3 linked regions of the Rhinolophus ferrumequinum genome follow. The protein of the gene in region 3 interacts with the protein of the main gene of each other region in a pairwise test. Links are inferred from orthologs where the notes say so. Each region holds a gene or a part of one and is shown on either strand. Other genes may lie near its edges.

Region 1 (7,362 bases), on a different chromosome or scaffold from region 3:
AACAGCTGATGGCCACCCAGCCACAGCGAATGGCAATCTGATTACAGCTGATGGCCATCTTACTACCCGAGCCAGCACCTTTCCACGTGAGGCCGAGAGCCTGGAAACTGCTGTCTGGGACTCCGTCCCCACATTCATTTTTAATAAAGTGGATAGAGGACTGAGTTACTAACTTGGAAGAGGTCAGATTTCAGAAGTCAGTTAAAGGACATTATACTCCATCACTACCATAACTTACCACAACAGACCTTGGCATTGCTGGTTTAAACACTGAACAAAATTCCAATAATCTTTTCTCATAGTATTTGCAGAGTGTCATTTCTTCATGAGGCTCAAGAAAGACTGGATCATTGTGAAGAACCTTTAGATTAAAAGTTACACCAAAAGTTCAGTCAATTGAATCTTAAAATATTTTTCTGTCCAGATTAGTTTCTATTAATATCTCCAGCCAAAGGGAAATATACCACAACTCATTTCCACTTTATAGAATTGTTCATTATTACACAAAATGGCTTTAGGAAAAAATTTAATAACCTAAAATTATACCATAATTTCACAATTTCTCAGAATGTCAATTGGGTATTTGCTTCATTAAGGTATAAGCAATCATGATGGAATGTATGCCTATGCTTACAGGTTTGATGTCATTATTTAGAAATCAAAAAGAAGATATACGTGGTTCATATTTGGAAAGTTTTCAAGACTTCTTTCTCAGTCAGTTATTAAGTCACACAGGTTGAGGTAAGAATCAACAAGTATTGCAAGGATAATTCTGACCCTGAAAACATTACTTCTTATCCACCTTTGTAAATTCTCTACAGAATGCATTCTAGATGGTTAATAAATACAACTTTACAAAAAATATCCATTAGATGCTGTTACTAGTTTAATTACAATTACCAAAATAGGATATATTGATGTCCTAAACCCCCAGTAGAGGCACACCTCAGAAATAATGTAGGTTCAGTTACCAGACCTCCACAATAAAGCAAATAGTGATCATTTTGCTGGTGGAGGGTTTGCCTTCAGTTAGTGAAGAAAAAAAACAAACACATCTGTGAAGCACAATAAAGCCAAGTTCAATAAAATGAGGTATGTTTGTATGTGACCTCAGAATGTGACCTTATTTGGAAATACGGTCTGTCACGTGGGGTGTCATGCAGGGTCTCTGGTCCTGCTCCCCACAAAAAAACGTGAGGCCAAAAAGTAACATCCATGGAGCCATAGATAGGGGAGTCATACCACTATATTCTCTCTGGCGGCTGGGTTGGAGACACAGGGAGCAAACATCCGCCAGTACCCCAACAAAGGGACTCCCTGCACCCCAGTCTCTCTGGCAGCCAGGCGAGACTCACGAAGTAGGATCCACACAATCCACAATCCGCCGTCCACTTTTCTGCCTGCCAACCAACGAACCAACCTAGCCACAGCAGTTATATCAGTGGCTAATTGGCTAACTGATAACAGCTGATGGCCAACTAGTCACAGCTGACGGCCATCTACAACCCGAGCCAGCACCTTTCCACGTGAGGCCGAGAGCCTGGAAACTGCTCTCTGGGACTCTGTCCCCACACTGTAGATGTAATCAGATGTACTAGAGTAGAGTTGGTTCCTAATCCAATATGACTAGTATCCGTATAAGAACATGTGAAGATACAGAAACACAGGAAGAACACTATGTAAAGATGGAGGTAGAGATTGGAGTTATGCTGCCACAATTAAAGGAACACCTGGGGTTCCTAGAAGCTGTATGAGGAAAGGAAGGATCCACCCCTACAAGCTTCAGAGAGCAACTACCTGCCAACCTTGATCTCACTAGCCTCCAGAACTGTGAAAAAATACATTTCTCTTGTTTTACACCACAGTTTGTGGTAGTATTTTTATGGCAGCCCTAGGAAACTAACACAGGTGCTAATTTTATAGACAATATGGCATTGCGGTTTAGAGCAGGAATGCTGGAACTAGATTCCTTCCTTGGGTTCAAATCCTGTCTCTGCCACTTACTACCAATGTAGCCTTGATTAGTTATTGCTCTCTGTACCTGTTTCTTCAGCTAGGAAGTGAGGATAATAACAGTCTTTACCTCAGTAGCTGTGAAAATTAAAAGATCTAACACTTGCCAAATGCTTAGAATAGTGCCTGGCATGCAGCACAAAAATAAAGTGATATGAAATAGCTGTGACTTAAAAGTACAGTACCTCAGTCCCAACAATCTTAGACATGGAATACTTGCTGGAGGGAAGCTTGCAGTTACTAGGATGGGTGTTGGAGCTTGTGAGGGAAAGGTGGTTGGTAGCTGTAACAGGGAGAACTTGGCGGGCAGGCCATAATCCAAACCATCTTCAATCAACTGGTTTGTGCAAACGGTGTCTTGTCTCCCCGCCCCCACCCTGCCCCATCCAATCCATTCACCACCAGGATGCCAGAGGGCTCTTTCTAGAACAGCATCTGTAAAGTTAATTTCCCATTTAAAATCTTTCAAAGGTTCCCCATCCCTTCATCAAGTTCAAATTCCTTACTTTCGCTTACAAGCTCCCCGCCTACCTTTTCCAGCCTGTCTTGCACAGGTGCTCTGCTACCACTACAAACGATCTAGAGCATTCCAGGAACCCGCCCTACAACTTCCCACTTTGCACCTGTGGTTCCGTCCTCCGGGAATGTTCTTTCCCCATTTGCTTCGCATCAGCTACTGGGAAAAGCCCTCCCGGAGGTCTCCTTTTGACAAGTGAACGGCTCTGGTTCCGCACTACACGGACATCCTACAAAGTCTCCTACGCCATATTACTGGTTATTTGCCTGCCACTCAACTACGGAAATGGTGTTGTCCGCCTCTGTACCCACAGCACCTGACAAGGTGTTCGCCTGTTTATTAAACAAATGAACGTGCGCTCCGGAGGGAGGAGAAGGGGAGGTGTCCAGAGAGCCCCGGGGGCGGGGGCACTAGATCCCGCAGTTGTTCAAGAGTTAGGAGGTCCGGGCAGCGGGGCGGCCACCCGTGTCCTCACCTTCCCGTTCGCCACCGCTTTGCATTTGAATTTGCGGTTGGCGTCAGCCCGCAATCGTGCCAGCTGCTCCTCACTGGCGAAAGTCCAGTGCCGCTTCTGGCTACTGTTGTGGTACATCCTTAAGTCCGAGACCAGGCCCAGGAAGTCTGGAGAAAAAGACCCCAAACGCCACCACACCGTGGTGTAAAGCAGCTAAACCACGACAGCGCAGGGCGTCAGGCCGTCAGGCGCGGGTGCGCTGACGTCACAATCACGTGGTGACTTCGTCGGCGATCGCGTTTCCGGAGCGGAGAACCTCTCTAGCGCTGATTTAGCCGCCGCCTGCTCCCTAAGTGGCCGGAGCGTACGGATATGCTCCGCCTTTCTGCGAGCCCTGGCTCTAGCTCCGCCCCTTTCCTACAAAGCTTAAAGGAGAAGTGACAGGCTGAGATGGCCAAAGGAATGTAAATTGAGGGTATGTGCAGGCTAACATAATTCACACGGGGTAATCAGAAGAGGGGGCAAGGACTTAGGAGGGTGTCACCTTTTTTAAATAGGATATTCAGAGTAGGCTACACTAAGAAGGTGACATGGAATAAAGACTTGAAAGAGTTGAGGGATTAGGCATATCAGTCACGTGGGAGTGATGCTGGGGCAAAAAGAACAGTGAAGGCCCTAAGGCAGAAGTATTCCTGGCTCTTTGAAGAAAGAATGTGTCTGGAGCACTACCAAAAATCTCTGCCTCAGAGATAACAGAACATGGTTGGAAAACTAGAAGCAGTGCATGTGTATTGTTCTTTATTGCTCTGCCAATAATGTGACCCTATCTTTTTCTGTGCCTTTTCCTTTCCTCTTCTGCTCAATTGGATTGGATTCTGCCAATCCTTTCCCCCATTTCCATCTCCGAGGCCATGACGTATGGTAGTTTTAGGATTTTCTTGAAATCCTCATCTTCATTATTGCCCCAAGGGAAACTTGCAATAAACTATCTGTTAATACTTAAAAGATTCACAATTTTTTTGTTACTAATACTTTCAAAATTGCATTTGAGATACAGAATTTACATGAATTCCAAAAGCCTTTACTAGTTTTGATATCTGTCCCATTTAAGCACACCACGTTCTCCTATGCATCATACATTGGGTTAGATAGATTTACCTACAGCAAATCATTTTTCTAAACACCAACAGATAAAAAATCAGGTAATGAAGATGAGACACAAAGAGTTCAGATATTCAAAAGACCACACAGTTAAAAATAGGTGATAGGATATCTCTAACTCTGCTTTCTGTGAAAATGTTTTTAGCTGCTTAAGAAAGGGAGAGCTTTTTCTTCTTTTTTGTTTCATTTTGGCGAGTACAGTTGAGGGTAAGTAGACTTTGCCAGAGTTATTTGAATTGCACAAACTTACATCATTTGTAGTTTATAACTCTGGAGATCCAGGCACTCCTTGAACATGTGTCAGTAATTCAGACTAGTTAAATTGGCTAAGAGAAAAGAGAAAAAGAGAAAGAAAAAAATATGAGGTTGTTAACCTGGGAAATAAAAAGCCAAAGTGAAAGGCAACAAGCATTTTTTTGAGATCAAAGAATAGCTATTAGGAAAGCAGTGATTCAGGCAGAAACTCAGAAAGTGTTCTGATTTTGGGGGGAAGGCAGGGGTTTTATGAGAAAGGGAAGGGAAATAATTACATGAATAGAAGAAAGGAATTTCTGTTGATGTTAGTAAGCTAATTTTTAGCTATACATGGTTGTGCTAATTCTACAGACTGCCCTTAATTTTCAGTCCTTGTAGTCAGAATGTCTGCTTACTTGTTATTTTTACAAACTGTTTGGAATACAATGTTGGCTTTGCCCAGTCCAAGGATTATTTTTCCCATTCCAAATGTTTGAGGAAAACACATGCAAGGCAGTTCCTTGGAGTGGCTATAATAGCTCTATTTTAAAATGGCTTCGCTTACATCAACTTAATGTTAAGGAGGGACATGGCAAGTTATGACTCCAGTGGATTGTGAGCACCATAAATGATTGTATAACGAAGAATAATTTAAAAGGAGAAAATGAAAGGTAGGCAGGAAAGGAAATGATTTAGATAAATGAATAAAGTCTTAGACCCCTGTCAATTCTATATACCATGTCAATTCTTTTTATTTTGTTTTTCTGAGAGGCATTTGACAACTACTTCAGTTTCATGTAAAGGGAAATAAAAAGGGGCATTTGGGAGAGGTGGCAGAAAATGATTACCACAGGGATAAGAGTATAACTGCTGAATGTCATAATTCATTTAGGAAGACAAATATGAAAAACCTGGTGTTTCTGGTGTAACTATTTTATAAAATCTTTAAAAAATTTTAGTCTATGAAAATTAACCTTGACCATGCTTTTGGAATGTAGAAGAAATTGTACCTAAATTAACCATGGACAAAATAAAGTTGTTGCTGATGCCCTAATATTAGGACTCATATATGATTTCTTTTTCTTAAGGTGAGCCAGGCTGGATGCTGCACCAGTCAGTCTGCCTGAATGACATTCCCCTGTTCAGCTTGTTGAGCATGTTTATTTCTTGTACTATTTCAACCGGAAGGCAGACTTAGAACTTGGACTTAGAACATGGTGCCTTTACCTATTTCCATTTCTAGTTCCAACTAAAAAGTAGCAAGTGTTTCTCTCCACTCTTACGTGTTTATAAAAAAATTCAAACATTGAGAATAGAGAAAAATGTATTTCAATAATTATCCTCCACTCCCCGACGTCCCCATGACTTTTAAATCACAATCTCTGCTGCTAGATGGAGATGTTTCAAACAATAAAAAACAAAATAGACAGAATCTATACTTCCTAGAAGAGCAGTACAAACATTCAAAATTTGAAAACAAAGATAGTACTAATTCATTGGGCTTTACCCAGAAGTGAATGTTAACTAATAGGCATGATTACAGTGCCTTCTTTTAAATAAACACAATCTTTTAGTGTACTGCAGTTGTTAAATTGTGTTGCAGTATGTATTTTTATAACAAACTAAGTATTTTTAATTGCAGACATTACGTCAAAACCAGAGGTTGCCAATCAGATCAAGCGATGCAAAGCAGAGGTCATCTGTTGATCACCCCAGAAGCACTATACTTATCCATATACCATGCCAAAGCTTCCCATGAGAGTATTAAGAATTCCTCTCTCTTGAATTTATCATGTTAAGTGAAATAATTCAGACAGAAAAAGTCGAGAACCATATGACTTCACTCATATGTGGTACATAACACTGAAAGCAAAAAACTAACAAGACAAACAAACAAAGAAACAAAAACTCATGGACACTGACAACAGTTTAGTGGTTCCCAGAGGATAAAGGGGAAGGGGGGTGGTAGATGAGGTAAAGAGGGTAAAATATAAGGAGAACTGATTCTGGGTGGTGACCACACAATGCAGTATATGGATGATGTAGTATAGAAATGTACACTTGAAACCTATAAAATTTTACTAATCAATGTCACTCTAATAAATTTAATTTAAAAAATGAAAGTTTACTCCAGTGTAGAAAACATAAATTTCTCTCTTCCTTTAGGACAATATTCCTTCTTCAGGCTCTGCCCTAGTGATCTTAATGTTTTAGAAAAATAAAGATAAGACTGCCTGATTTTAGGAGTAAAGGTAGAAAGGGAATAAGAAGGGTGAGGGAGTAACCAATAAATATATGTGCAACTTGAAATAGTTTTGCAGTCTAATAAAATATTTTAAGTGGCCTGATTAATTTATAGTCTTTATTTTCCAAACATATCAGTATACTCATATTCACATAGTTTCTGATTTCATGGCTACAAGGAAAATAGAATGGTGTTTTGGAATAAAGCCACATCCATGCTCACAAAAATACAATGTCTTTCTTACTTTAAAATCTGACATGAAACTGTACCCCTTCAGCTACTGACATGGGTTTCTGACATTCTAAATATAGCTTTGCAATGATATGTAAAAACAAGACTTTTGCAGTTCTATTTGATATATACACTTGCCTCTAAAATCCTTTTCTAGTTTGTTTGTTTTTTCCCAGTGACCAAGTTAGGACTAAGAGGAGAAAATATCTAGTTTCTCCAAAACAGGGTACTACTAAAGGAAAAGAAAAGAAAAAAAGAAACAGCATTTAAAAAATATCCTTGATCTAAATGTAACCTCCCAAAACTGAAACACTTTTTCTTTTGTTTTAGGACTATTTAAAATTAAGGTGTAAATAGACTTGACAACATAGTGAGGAGTGAATTCTATAAATTCGTGACCATTTCAGCATATCTTACTAAATCACCACTATACTCAAGGCTTAGTACTAATTGTTAGATGGTGGTGGTGATGGTGATGGGAACATAAAAATGGCTATTTTATAGTTC
Region 2 (7,438 bases), on a different chromosome or scaffold from region 3:
CATCAAGTTCCTGCTGAAATGCTAAGAATACATTATTATAACCATAAGCATGCATATTCTATAATTAACATCTATCAAACAACATTGTTACTATGCATGATAAAGCAACTATTATTTACTCTATAAAAATAATGAGGACAAAATCATCTTTTTTACTTCTAAAGTACTTGGAAATCAATGACTCTGCTAATAGCCAAAATATTCTTCCTTTAAATAGATGTGAACTGTATATGTTGTAAAAAGTATCTGGTCTATTAAACATGAGATTATCACAAAATTATCACATATAACTACTTTAAAAAATTATTTCCAACTACCTCCCTAAGTAACGTAAAGTTTTTTAAATTACTTTACCATATACAATATAAACATTCCCCAAAAAGAAACTAGAATTTAATTAAACGTTATAACTTTTGATAACATCAACTGTCTAAAGTTTCAAGCTCTAGTCATTGAAACACCTGTAAACCATTTAACTCTTCATAACCACTTTATTTCAGAAGCATTGTCACACCAAAGATGCCTGTCCCGTAAGGAGCACCCAACAGATGTATTTTGCATGAATTAAAAAAAAGAAAAACCCAGAACTTGAATAAACCAGTAACCAAATTAGTAGTTGACAAGGGCCTAAATACATCTGGTCTTTTATTATTGAGATAACAATTAGGCTATGAGTTTTGTCTAATAGTTCAAGACAACCATTTACTGATTATGAATATGTTAACGACCACTGTGAACTAATTACTATGAATACAAAGTTAAACAAGACAGTTCCTATCCTCAATGAGCTTAGTACAGTAGAAGGCAGACATATAAACAAAAAATAAAATGTGACCATGCTATTATAAATATATGTAAAAGGTTCAATAAAGCAGGAACCACATTTTTCTGGTTCACCACTAACACATGCTAGAATACAGTGGACGTTCAATAAACGTCTCATGACTGAATGAATGGATAATGAATGAACAAAATGTTTGTCACCAAGTTTCCTTGAGAGAAAAGTCAGAAAGGCTTCAAAGGGAAAAAGCGACTTGAGCTAGGTCTTGAACAAAACCACAGCAAACCAGAGGGACAATGGGGCACCAAGTTAGAAGGAATTCCAAGCTTAAAGAACTATGTGCGAAAAGGTAGGCAGAAGCATAAAACAGCAAAATCAGCTTGGAAACAAGCCGCTGTGCGTGTGTCAGAGCACAAGGGCGGGAATATCGGCCAGGCCCGCTGTCTTCCTCCAGCCACAGCACAGCGGGAGCCCTGTGCTCTGTCCTCAGTCACGACCAGTTCTCACACCTCTCAGGTGCTGTGGTGGCTCTACAGTATGTTCACAAGTTATTCCTCCCTTCAAAAGGTGGGACCTAGTTCCCTTCCCCTTAAATCAATGTAGCAAAAAGTGCATGATGTCTGAGATTGGGACATAAAGGGACTGTGGTTTCCTCCTTGCTGTGTGTGGGAAGCCCCATGCCATAACATGAGGACACTCAAGCAGCACTATGGAGGCTGGCTGTTGGCAGAAGCCCTCCCTTGTCAATAGCTGGGGACCCTCGGACTCCAATGCAGGCTTCGGATGACTGCGAGTTAGAACCAACAGCTAAGCCCCTCTCAGGTTCCAGAACCACGGAAACTATAAGGTATAGGATGGCGAACCAGAGGACGAAGAATTTTGTTTCATGTTTTGTTTTGAAATGTGGAACACCCTGACGAAGTTAATATACTGAGAAAAGGGGGGCCGTGCATACACATATATCTATGTCCATGTATGATTTACTAATAGATAGGAGTCCCACTCTGTGCAAAGTGCTAGTCAATACAAAAATATAGTCCATCTTCAAAAGTCTAGTTGAGGAAACACAACCAATACACGTTAAAAAAATGTTAAATGTATGTATAAACACACACCTGATACACGTGGTCATGTGCCACCTAATGACGTTTTGGTCAACAATGGACCTCACATACAATGGTGGTCCCCTAAGATTATAACGGTGCTAAAACTTTCCTATCACCTAGGGACTTCACTGCCTTCCTAACGTGGTAGCAATGCATTCCTCTCGTGTTAGTGGTGCTGCTGGTGTAAACAGACCTACTGTGCTGCCGGTCACACAACAGTCCAGCGCGTGCAATTACCGTAGGAGGCTGGACCTCTAGGTGTGTGTCCGCGCACTCTGTGTTCACAGAAGGATGAAATCACCTTACGAGCATTTCTCCAGGTCATTAAGCAGCACGCGTGACCGTGTGTGTGTTTATCTGTATGACATTTCATATTAAACAATGTTTACCTGTGCAACTGTAACGGGAAAAAAGGGCAAGACACTTGTACTCTTGAATTTCATGGCAGACCTAGCACCATCCAAAACCTCCAGGAAAAGTAAAATGTTCACATATGTACATCTTACATTCTTAGGCGTTATTTTTTCCTTGTGCACAACACTGGCTAAACAATCTTTGTTACAATCTCTTTCTCTTCCCTTCGCCAGCTTAACACTACAGAGAACTTACATTTGAAGGCCAACATCACAGGTGAAGATGAATTAACATCCTTCCCTTCTCTTCTCTGGTTATGTGGGAAATTGTCATGCTTCCTTTTCCTGAACCCTCCAGATCCTTACGTAGAGAAGGAGGAAAAAGTCGGATAGGGTTCCTCCATCACCAAGAGGCGACAAAACATAACGCAGGCAGGCAAACCCCTTCTTTCCGTTAATACCAGACGCCCACAGGGCCCTCGCTTTGGAGGCCTTCTCAGCCTGATGCAAAAGCCCCGCGTCTTCTCCCCAAACCTCCAGCTCCCTCCGCCAGGCCTCCCACCCACGCGCTCCCTGATCTGGCACAAGGTGGAGCAATTACTGAACTAACATTTGTAAAAAAACAGCTTGAGGACCCAGGAAAATGAGAAGTGTAAACAAAGCCAGTGTGGCCCGGAAAATCACCAGGGCCGCCGCCCCTCACCCCGAGCCTGCAAAGGGAGAGGGCATCCCTCGGTGAGAAGTGGGAAATCCGACCAAAAGGCTGGACATCCAATCCCCTCTGAATAAGTAACACCCAGCGCTCTTGAGAACGCCACCTTCTTTGTTGCTCATGTCGTCACGGCCAAAGGTGCGACGAGCCGCGACTCAGGGCCTTGGAGCCGGGGAAGTGCGCAAGGTGACGGCCGGAGAGCCTGCCGAGGCGCCTTTTCAGCCGGCCGACGTCGACGCACGGACGGAAGCGCGCGCCCGCAGCCACTCAAACCTCCGCCTTCGTCCTCGCACACTTCCGGCTTGTATCCCAGCCCCGCCGCCACTGACTCCGCCCCGAGCGTGGCCCGGGGACCTCGTGCCTACGTGCCTTCCTCTTGCCTGCCCTCTGCTATGCCTGAAGGCAGGAGCGACGCTACACGCTTCACTGCATGCGCTGCTAATAGATAAGGCGATGCTTCATCCTGGAGGGGATAGCGGTGTGAAGGTGGAAAAGCGGCGTTAAACGTAGGTGATTTTTTTTTTCTCAAGGCGCCTTTGGGATACCCTCGCGTTCCCTCAGTGTGGACCCAGGCTCCCGCGCGGTGTATACTGGGTGTTGTAGTTCGCCCGTGGAGCCGGCCATGCGGTGATGGAGGCTAGTCTCAGAGGAGGGGACCACCAACTACTGAGCTCTTATGGGAGAACCTGCTCAGGATCGGGGACGAACGTGACCGAGTTAGGAGTTTTTAACCTTTCCATTCCTGGCAGTGACTCCTGGCGCTAAAGTGATGGAAATATGCAAGTCAGTAAGTGGATGGCGTACCTAGCATTTTCTCTGAGAAGGTAAAAGACGCTCTTCTGTTGTCCTCCCCCACACCGCCCCTCTCCCTGTCTTTCGCTTTGTCCCCCCTCCTCCGTCCTCTATCACTTTACTCCTTTGTTCCTGGCTCTGTGGAGCCAGGCTGCCTGTGTTCAAACTCGTCTCCACCACTGAGTGGTTGTGTGACCTTGTGGAAGTAATTAATCTCTGGACCTCAGTCTCTTTATCTGTGAAATGGGGATAGAATAGTACCCGCCTCGCAGGATTACTTGAAGACTAAATGAGTTACTACTAAGGCGCATGGAAGAGTGTCTTTCACATAATAAATGCTCAGGTAAATATTATCTCGGATACTTTTCTCCCACCATCAATCTTAAAAAAAAAAATAGAGGTCAGTAATAATAATAACAGGCGTGGACCACCAAATCGTGAGCGTTCAATACGGGTGAAGCTGCCACGTCTTACTGGACTCTGTGCCCACCCCACCCCGATACTGCCTTAGCGCAGTGCCTTTGTACGCCTGCGTAAGCGCTTGTGGAAGAACGATGTCCCCATCATCAAGATGGGTAACTAAGGAGCAAGCCAGCGTCCTCTAGATACAAACTCTGGCTAAGGCTTAGTAAATTGGATGACCTAGGCCCAGTAGGGAAAACTCAAGTATGTTTTATTGCACTTTCTCAAAATAACCTCCATATTGTAGACACCTACTGTACACAGTTTTCCTCCTTGTTAATTTAGGAACAAAGGAACAGTAACTGAAATAGCTTGGCTAGAATAGGGCAGTCATTTCAACTCCCTGACACAAGTGTGTCATGGGAAGGTGTTCTGCTGTGAGTAATCTCTAGGGTCCTTTCCAACCCTGAAGCGAGAAGGTAACCACCCTTCATATCTTTGCATTCCTTTGAATGCATGCACTGATTAGCCAAATTCCTTGTGGATAAAATAGGCTACTGAGGACCTGGATTGAACTCTTGGTTTTTGAATGTTGGCAAATCATTTTCAGTTTGTGTGAGGTCTGACCCTGCTGTCATAATCCATCAGTACTCTCCCTACTCTTTGATTAGAGGTGACTGGACTATGAGGGGAAAAAAGGACAACTCTGATATAAATGTAATCACTGTAATGTGACTCCCTCTAGATCCAAGGGAGCCAGTAGTTATGAGCATTATTTTACCATAGTGTGGAAAAGGGTGTTTCTCCTGACTCTACTGGAAAAGCATTTCCCAAGACCTCAACTTTCCAAAACCTGGAACAGCCATATTTCATCTGCCACCACTCTTGTTCACTTTCTCAACTGCAGTTGTGTTATGTGAACTGCTTTTCACTGATTCCCATAAATGTAAAGATTACGATACTAAGTTTTATAACCTGTACTGACTTCTGCGTACTTAATGGAGGTGAATCCCAGAAACACTTCCCAGCACTTATTTGCATATGCTGCTACCCCAGGTGTCCCAACAGTAGCTACTCCTTTGTCAGAAAATACCTCTCAACCACTGGGACCACCTGCAAAAGGCATCTCTACCTTGACCATCTCCTTGTTTTATTGTTTCAGATGCACACACATAGTTTTGATATTTGGCAAAACATAGTTTTAGTTGTTAAAGAAAAACTACCACCCCAGATGGGAAGAAGAAACTAAAGATTTTCAGTAAGACCTTACTTCTGGAATGGGGCCTGTCATGCAGGGTGGCATGAGGGGTCTCTGGTCCCACTCCCCACACAAGAACGCAGGACATGGTGAGGCCAAACAGGAACACCCACGGAGCCATAGGTAGGGGAGTCATACCACTATACTGTCACTGGCAGCTGGGTTGGAGACACAGGAACCAGGAGCCACACAATTCTCAACCCTCACTGTGCCGCTTGCAGACTCAGCCCCCATCTTCTTGCTAGCCCCCCTTTTTTCTGCTAGCGTAGCCACGGCAGTTATATTAGTGCCCAATGGCTCACTGGTTACAGCTGACGGCCAACTAGCCACAGCTGATGGCCATTTAATCAGTCGATGGCCATTTACTCCCTGAGCCAGCACCTTTCTATGTGAGGCCGAGAGCCTGGAAACTGCTTTTTAGGGCTCTGTCCCCACACTCCACCCCTACAGGGTCTCGCCTCACAATCTACGCGACAAGCGTCTTCCGCGAGGAGCCCTGTGCGAGGAGCCTGGAGGTGAACGCTATTTCCTGGACACAGCCAAGCTCTCTGGTCACAGCCAGGTTTTCTCAGGGCACCACCAGTACTTCTGGGCACAGCCAGACTTCCTGGGCTTCTTAGGGTACCACCAGTCTCCCCGGACACAGTTAGGGCCTCTCAGGGCACTGCCACTCTCTCTGGACACAGCCAGACTTCCTGGACTCAGCCAGGGCTCTCAGGGCACTGCCACTCTCTCTGGGCTCAGCCAGACTTCCTGGACTCAGCCAGGGCTCTCAGGGCACTGCCACTCTCTCTGGGCCTCTCAGGGTACCGTGCTGGAACAACAGCGGCTCACAGTCAAGGTGCTTACATATTCGCAGTGGTGGCCAGTCAAGACACAAAAGCAAACATCCGCCAGTTCCACTACATGGTGGTAAAAGAGATCTAGACAGAAGGTGTTACTTTGGGCACCTTTGGTATATATATGGTAATTAAAGCCACCAGAATGAATGGAATCTAGGGAGGCTGTCATGCAGGAGACCCTGCTCGCTATGCCCTGTGTCATGCAGGGTGGCATGAGGGGTCTCTGGTCCCACTCCCCACACAAGAACGCAGGACATGGTGAGGCCAAACAGGAACACCCACGGAGCCATAGGTAGGGGAGTCATACCACTATACTGTCACTGGCAGCTGGGTTGGAGACACAGAACCAGTAGCAACACAATTCTCAACCCTCACTGTGCCGCTTGCAGGCTCAGCCACCATCTTCTTGCTAGCCCCCACTTGCTGCTAGTATAGCCACGGCAGTTATATTAGTGCCCAATGGCTCACTGGTTACAGCTGACGGCCAACTAGCCACAGCTGATGGCCATCTGATCAGTCGATGGCCATTTACTCCCTGAGCCAGCACCTTTCTATGTGAGGCCGAGAGCCTGGAAACTGCTTTTTGGGGCTCTGTCCCCACAGTGCCCTTTCCTCCTCCTATTGTTGCATTCCAGTTTCCCACATTTGAATGTTCTGAATGTTTCCCACATTGAAAGTTCTGAACCTTTCAAGTGCACCTGTTTTTATTCAGTTTATAAATCCTCATATTTGTCACCTTTACAGAGAAAAAAAAATCACATATCAAAATTGGTTTTGGGCATTGAAAAAAAATCACATAATCAAGTAAGAGAAGAGATATAGACCCTCAAAAGATTTCTGTGTCAGCGTTTATGTTATCATGTAGTTATTACATAAAATCTGGAGAGTGGGTTTGGTGTCAGGGGAAAGTATCATAATATTTTAAAGATAACCTGTAAGGTCTGAGTGGTTTTGTGAAGTGTACACATGCCAATTCACACATTTATATGATGTTCTGGTTCTTTCCTAGAGAAGGAAGCTGGTATTTGAGGGAGTGAAAAGGGATGGGCAAAACCACCATGGGATACCATGTCACATCCACTGGGGTATAATTTTAAAAAACAACAAAACAGTGTTAGTGAGGATATGGAGAAATAGGCACTCTCACACACTGTAGGTTTGTAAAATTTTGCAGCCACTGTAGGAGACAGTT
Region 3 (7,637 bases):
AGAGCCTCCCCCTCCCAGGCCTGGCTCCCCTAGGTCTCACCTACCCCAGGCTTGTCCCCTGAATACATGGCCCTCTCACTCCCAGACCCCACCCAGGCCTGAGCCTCCCCCCACAGCTGGCCCTCTCATACCTGGGCCTCGCCTAGCCCTAGTTCGATGGCCTCCAGCGAATGGCTCACCACCTGCTGCTTTTCTTCCAATAGTTCCAAGCCAGCCACTGGACCCTGCCCTGCCAGGGCCTCCACCAGGTGCCCAGCCAGGTCATGGTGTTCTGTACGTAGGGCCTCCAGCCCCTGCACCACTTGTCGCGTCTGCCGCACCAGCTCCTCAGGATTCAGGCGCTCTGGGCCCAGCCCCACACTTCCGGGGGCTGCCACCTGCACAGACATTGCTGTTCCTGAGGGGCAGCGGGATTGGGGAATCACTGCCAAAGCCAGGCATGCCAGCCCTTCAGCCTCCACGCCATTCTGACCAGCAGGACTCCTAGTTACCTCCCTAGCCAGCCATCCCAGCCAGCCCTCTGCCTCCGTACCCTCCTCTTTCCAGCCAGCACCCTGTCTCACACCCATCCTGGCCAGCCCGCAACTGGGAACATTCTAATCTAGCTTTGCCTGTCCTCAGCCACGAGGGCAACTCCAAAACCCCAAAGATGACCAACCAAAAGAAGGCAAACAGCTGGCTTGTGGCTTCCTACCTGCCCCCAGCTCATGTGGCCAGCCCTCGCCACCCCAAGGGCCCTAGATACCCTGGCCCGGACCTCCTGGCTGTGTGACCTGGGACTGGAGGCAGCCTCCTCCGCTGGGTGTGTGGGGCGGGGCGTGTGGAGGCGGCAGCTTCTCGTGAGCTCACTCTTAGGGTGTTTTTGTTGAGAACCAGTCAGACCACTGGGGGTGGGGTGGGGCAGGAGGAGCAGCCGAGGGGCTGGGGTACCGGAAGCAGAGGAGGCCTCTAGATGGGGGGGTGGGGCTCAGGGCACCCTGTATGGGCTCTGGGGGCCTAAGGAGCTGACAGACCCTGAGGGATCAGGGGCTCCACCCTCTACTGCAGACAGGCTCAGCCCGCCCAAGGCGTGTTGGGACACACGTGTGGCAGGTGTGGCCCATGGATGTCACACTGGCCTCGTGACAACTGAGGGTCTGAGGCCCAGATTGTAATGGGTGGGGGGGTCTCACATGAAGGACTTCATGTGGCTTGTATGTGAGTGACAAAGTCAATGACACAGTTGGTGGTGGCTCAGGCCCTCATATACACACTTACACACATGCACACTCCCCTCTCAGAAATACAACTCAGTACACTCTTTCTCCTCTGAAAAATCAAACACATCACATACACTCACACACACACATTTTCCTTTCAAAATACAACCTAATGCAACACACTAATGCAGGCGCACACACATACACTCCCGTCTTAGAAATATAAACTGACACACAGATATATTTTCCTGTCAGAAATAAAAACCAACACATGCAGAAACGAACTCTCTGCCTCTCCTCCCTCACCCGCGAAAATATAACCAAGTCTCTCACATTCCGAGTGTCTCCTTGCACTTATGCCCATGACACATGCCTCTCCCACACTTCCGCAAGCAGCCCACTCTCCGTTGTATGCCTAGTACTTCCTCCGAGCACACACACACATTCCCAGGATTCGCTGTGGACCTGTCACCACCTTCCCCATGTCCTCCAACACCCCCCACCCCCTTGCAGGGCTGGCCAGGGATTTGTCCATCTGCACATGAGCACACGGATACACATATAGAGCTTCAAACATGGACGTGCAAATGGCCCCTGAACTCAGACTCAGTTATGCTGCCATAAGTGGGTGCCCAGGGCACAGACAGCTGTGGGGACATGCACACACCCTCTGAGGCATCTTCACTCTAGCAGCTCTGTCCACCATGAGCAGCCCAGCGGTTTCTGCACCTGCTTGCAAGTTCACAATCATATACGCTTAGACACACAGTAAGGGTAGCACATAATCCTGTGTGTTTTATAGATCGCCGGTTCTCATCACCCTCAACCTCTCTCTTTCTGTGTATGTGTTTGGGCATTTATCCATCTCTCTTTCTATATATGTGCGTGTGTATGTATGCCACACCATCCTTAGTCTCACACCTCACACACAAACCCCATAAACAGTCAAACACAATCACACAAGTTCAAGAGTCATCCTGACAATCACAAATCCTGCCGATTTATACAACCTCCCACAACCTCATGTACAATCTCAAATAACTGAGCTGAATGCTCCAGACACAGCCTCGCCTGCACCACCCACAGCCAACCACAGTAACAGTCACAGCGACACGCACAGCCACATAGAACTGGGGCTGTTTCCTCGACACACTAGCTCATACACTCGTACAGTCCTCCAAGCAGCTGACTCCCCTTCCCGTGCTCAGACCTGTCACACAACCACACAGCTGACAATGATGATCAGACACACCCCACACAACCATTCTGTTGCACACATTGCCCACCTCCCTGCCACCCCCCATATGACTGGCAGAAAGACAACCACAGCTATGCAACCTTAGTCACATTCATACCTAATCCTACAAAGAGTTCAACTCCCTCCCGTACACACAGAGCATTACAGACACACAATCAGAGGTCTCCCACATTTTCACATCACTGAAACAGCCCCACACCATTTCACACAGTCCCTGTGTGCCCTCCTAGGGTTACACAAACAGTCCATGTCCCCTTCACATCCATACTCACAGCCTGACACTATCTCGACATACACCTGAGCTTCATACACCATCACTAATACACACGCACCACACACTATATCCATACACTCGCAGGCAGGACGTCCCCATCATGGTCAGCCCGGCGTAGCACCCAACTTACCCCTGGCCGGCCTGCCCAGACCAGTGCACCCCTGCTTCCCAGCAGCGGTCACAGGGGGCCCCTCTCTCTCCCTAAGCCCCGCCCCCGCTCCTGTTTACCTGTGCACGGGGAGGGGGTGGGGCCCCAGCTGGGCCTCCAGAGTCGGGGGAGCCCCAGGGCTGGGGAGGGGGCATCCAGGGGCCCCCAGGCCTGTCCTCGTTGACAGGCCAGCGGGCCCAGGGGAGCGACAGGCCCAGCCTTCACCCTCCGCCCCCGTCCACATCCTCGCGACCCCCGGGACCCCCGCCCCACACTTCCGGCGCCCACCTGACTGCGGCCGGCTCCCAGACCCGCTCTGCTGTGCAGGGCCCTGCGGTCTCCCACACGCCGCTCTCGGCTGCGCCTAGCGTCTCGGGCCTGGGGTGGGTCCTCCCAGGGGCGGGGCGGCCTGGAGCCCTGCCCCCTGCAGGTGAGACCGGCCCCGCCCACCGCCCAGGGAAAGTTTAGCCCCACAGCGAAGGCCCAGTGGGAATAGCACCACCTCCGAGGAGGAGCCTGGAGCCTCCAGGGCACGTTGAACCTGAGGATGATTCCAGCGTGCTAGAGGCCTGGAAACGGGGACGTCGGCGAGCCAGCAACTTAAAAACTTGGAATCTTGGAAACTTTAGATGCCAGAACCATGGTCTTGCAGTGTCAGCTGCCAGGCCTTTGCCTTGGCTGTGCTCCTGCTTGAACCTCTCTTCCCACAGATCTCACCTTTTTTCTGGTCTCTTCTCATAGGCCGCTTCCTCCAAGAGGCCTTGCCTGACTGCCCCTTCTAAATCACACCCTCCCACCAAACCACTACCTCGTTCCCACTCTTGATTTGGTTCACAAAACTTTTCAGGGCCTACAATTATTTTACGTAACATTATATCACATTACAGTGGTACCTCGGTTTTCGAACATCTCCGCTGACGAACATTTTGGTTTATGAATGCCGTTAACCTGGAAGTAAATGCTTTGGTTTTCGAACACGACTCAGAAGTCGAACTTGTCACACGTCTTCCACTGAGTGCAAGATTCTGAGGTCTAGCTGTCGGCTGTTTTCGAACGTTTCAGAACTCGTGGATTACATTAGAAAACTGAGGTACGACTGTATTATGTTATGTTACATCACATTATTGACGCGGTAATGTAATGGCTAAAAATTGGGCTCTGGGTTCGAATAAGATCTCAGCACTTATTGGCTGTGCAGGCCTTGGGCAAGTAACGTAACCTCTCTGTGCCTCAGTTTTTCTAATCTGTAAAATGGGGAGAGTCAAAGGCTGTGAGGATTGAATGAGTTAATAAATGGATAGAAAGCATTTAGCAAATATTAACTACTGGTTGTATGACATGTTATTGGTTCTCTCCTCCTAGAATGTCAGCTCCTGAGAGCAGAGCTCTGTATGGTCAGCACTGCATCTTTAGCACTAGAATAGAACCTGGTACAAAGGAGTTTCTCAGTAAAGATTTTTTTGTTTGTTTTTTTAAATTAAAGTTTATTGGGGTGACAATTGTTAGTAAAGTTACATAGGTTTCAGGTGTACAATTCTGTAATACATCATCTATAAATCCCATTGTGTGCTCACCACCCGGAGTCAGTTCTCCTTCCATCACCATGTATTTGAGAGTTTTCTGAGTGACTGGATGACTGAGTCAAGACCTAGAAACGTAAACTGGCCAAAGCTGGGTGCACAGGATTCCAACATCACAGAATTTATTTAAAGAGGGCTTTTCCGGACCTCTGCCGTATCCTGGTCACTGCACTACAAGAAATTTCCAGCAGAGGGCACTGCTGATCCGTGAACCAGGCCCCAAATTCCAGCCCAGCTCCGCACCTGTTCTCCAAGCCCCAAGGCAAAGGCTCCCTCCTCTTGGAAGTTTTCTCTGCCCGATATCCCCAGGCTGGATGAGACGCTCCTTCCGAACTCCTGCAGGCTCCTGGGCTCCCACATCCCAGCCTTTCCCATTCTGAGTCATCATCTCCCACACTGGACTCACTATTGTGTCCCCAGTGCTACCCAACACAGGAGGAACCCCGAGAAAGCACTCGGGAGAGTGAGTGTTGATTGAATGATGGAAAATAAAACCTAAATTCACACTCTAACTTCTCCAGATTATTTTTAGGGAACAGAGTAGAGGAGGCAGCTGAACACCCTCCTTCCCAACTCCCAATTCTTTTGGCCTCAGGACACTGCGTGGTGGTTCTGCCATATGTTTACTAGGAGGCAGCCCAGGGACTAGAGAGGAGCCAGGCCGCCAAGGTGCAACTCCCTGCTCCGTCATTTGCTAGCTGTGTGACCCCTGAGCCAGGAACTAACCTCTCTGAGCCTCAGGTTCCTGGTCTGTAGCATGGGACTCACAAAGGTAACCTACTTTATGAGACTGTGGTGGGTATTAATGAATAATCCTCGTAAAAGGCTTAGCTCAGAGTAGCTCACGGTAAACACTATTAATGTGGCTGTGGGCCAAGGGAGGGAATTGGAGTCAAGTGGATCTGAGTTCAAATCCTGCTCTTGTCATTTCCTTTCCATGTGACCTGGGGCAACCAATGATTTTCTGAGGACCTATTTCCTCATCTATAAAACTGGAATGATCAAGCTCACCACATAGCATGCGTGGTGAGGATTAAATGAGACAAAGTCTGAAAGAAGAAAATGTTAACTAAGGTGGTCATTTCTTTAGGCCAGCCTTGTGCCAAGCACTTTTGCACACCAACGAGGACTGGAATGTCTGAATTCTTACCCAGGATGGGCCGGATGCCATGTCTTATAAATTAACCCTGTTAATCCTTACACCAACCTGCTGAGGTAGCTGATGATGTCCATTCCACAGGAGAAGATGAGGCACCGAGAGGTCAAGTGACTCATTCGATCACGCAGCCAAGGAGTAGCAGAGTCCCTGAATCCATACAGCCACCCTGAAACAGGCACTATGACTGGCCCCATCTAAAGAGGAGGAAACTGAGGCTCACAGAGGAAAAATCTCATGTCCAAGACCACAGCCAAGAAGTCACTCAACAAAACTTCCATCCTACCACTTAAGGCCTCAATTTGCCACGTCAGGAAAATGGGTGGATGGGTTGGGGGCTTTTCTATTTTCACCTTTGGCCATAATTTTTAAAAAGCTCCCCCTTTTTTAATTTACAAAGTAATGCACTGTCAGAAAAAAAAAATGTTCCCAAAGAACAAGACTATATAGTGAAAAGTAGGTCTTTGCCTCCCTTGATTCTCAGACACCCTTCCCAGAAGTAAACATGATTGCCAGTTTCTAATATCTTTCAGAGATATTCCATGGATATGAATTGCGTGTGGATGTATGAGCATCAGTGCCCATTTAAGAAAAACACAAATAAAAAAACCCCTCACCCATGGAGGTAGACTGACGGCCTTGACTTTGTGTGGTCATGTGACTTGCTTTGGCCAATGGCAGAGGAGCACAAGTGACAGTCGTGCCACTTCGGAGCTTAGGCCTTAAGAGGCTTTGACCATTTCCTTCTGTGTCCTGGCATAGGCCCGAGAAACACTCTCCCTGTATAGCGGCTCCCCATTCAGCCCACACCCCACAACATCTACATATTGTTGAAAGATAAACTGAGGCACATTCAAATTTTTAAGAGTTTATTTGAGCAAAAATCAATTTGAATTGGGCAGCATCCAATAGAACAGATAGAAAGGAGCTCCGAGGAGCTGTACAAAATGAAAGGCTTGTAGGCAGAAGGGAAATGGAACAAGGAAGTTATTCTAGGCAAACCAGCAGCTTGGTTATTGCAAGGTCACTTTCCCTTAGGAGACGGCAGGGGTCTATGAGGCAGATTACCTAACTAGTGCTGATTGGGCAATTCCTGATTGACAGGTTTAAGATTCCATGTCTGGGAGAGCTGAAACTGTCATTAAGTCTTGGTGACATGGGGCTTAGCATAAATCCATTTGGGGCCGGTTGTCTGGTTTTCAACAGTATGGAGCAGAGCTTCCCAGCTGAGCCCTGCTCAAATCAGCTAAACCCACATCCGTTTTAAAGCTAATGCATTTCGGGGTGGTGTGTCTCACAGCATTTTTGTGGCAATAGGTATATATGAGGTCAGACAATTAAGTTTGAGAACTTGTTGCAACAATGTTGCTAACCTTTTTTGATATCAGAGGGATTATTCATTATGAATTCGTACCAACTGGACAAACAGTTAACCAAGTTTACTATTTGGAAGTGCTAAAAAGCCTGCATGAAAAAGTTAGACAACAATTCATGGTTCTTGCATCACGACAATGCACCAGCTCACACGGCACTGTCTGTGAGGGGGTTTTTAGCCAGTAAACAAATAACTGTATTGGAACACCCACCTTACTCACCTGATCTGGCCCCCAATGACTTCTTTCTTTACCTGAAAATAAAGAAAATATTGAAAGGAAGACCTTTTGATGAGGTTCAGGCATTAAGAGTAACATGACGTATACTGGATCCTGTGTCTCCCCTGCTCACAACCCTCAGTGGCTTCCATCCCACTCAAAGTGATATGGAAACTCCTCCACAGCCCCCAGGGCCTGCAGGCTCTGCTCCTGTCCCCTCCTCAGCCTCATGTTCTTCCTTCCACTTTCCCCTCTACCCCATCTGCTCCAGCCCTGAAGCTTCCTCCCTTGTCTCAGATACGCCAAGCCACTCCCACCTCGGGGCCTTTGCACCTGCTGTTCCCCTTCCGGATTCCCCACATGGTTGGCTCTCTCCTCTCCCTCAAGTCTCTGCCCAGATGTCACCTCCCCAGACAGGCCTGACCTCACC

What was found. The genes of interacting proteins can lie anywhere in the genome.
Region 1: the proteins of KLC3 (region 3) and CCNH interact in binary tests that used the Homo sapiens proteins (3 or more experiments, as listed by UniProt). The two-hybrid records come from large-scale screens. The link is inferred for Rhinolophus ferrumequinum from reciprocal best matches to the Homo sapiens genes KLC3 and CCNH.
Region 2: the proteins of KLC3 (region 3) and TSNAX interact in binary tests that used the Homo sapiens proteins (3 or more experiments, as listed by UniProt). The two-hybrid records come from large-scale screens. The link is inferred for Rhinolophus ferrumequinum from reciprocal best matches to the Homo sapiens genes KLC3 and TSNAX.

What each region holds. Positions count from the first base shown.
Region 1 is NC_046290.1:56,803,824-56,811,185, forward strand, and holds the start of CCNH (cyclin-H), read right to left. Parts: upstream 3,263-7,362; 5' UTR 3,123-3,262; coding exon 3,006-3,122; intron 2,719-3,005; exon of another isoform or gene 2,545-2,718; intron 362-2,544; coding exon 239-361; intron 1-238. UniProt on the Homo sapiens protein: Regulates CDK7, the catalytic subunit of the CDK-activating kinase (CAK) enzymatic complex. CAK activates the cyclin-associated kinases CDK1, CDK2, CDK4 and CDK6 by threonine phosphorylation.
Region 2 is NC_046310.1:25,440,905-25,448,342, forward strand, and holds the start of TSNAX (translin-associated protein X), read right to left. Parts: upstream 3,263-7,438; 5' UTR 3,075-3,262; coding exon 3,059-3,074; intron 2,602-3,058; coding exon 2,497-2,601; intron 22-2,496; coding exon 1-21.
Region 3 is NC_046298.1:41,721,685-41,729,321, reverse strand, and holds the start of KLC3 (kinesin light chain 3), read right to left. Parts: upstream 3,268-7,637; 5' UTR 3,168-3,267; intron 782-3,167; exon of another isoform or gene 695-781; intron 398-694; 5' UTR 390-397; coding exon 132-389; intron 1-131. UniProt on the Homo sapiens protein: Kinesin is a microtubule-associated force-producing protein that may play a role in organelle transport. Plays a role during spermiogenesis in the development of the sperm tail midpiece and in the normal function of spermatozoa.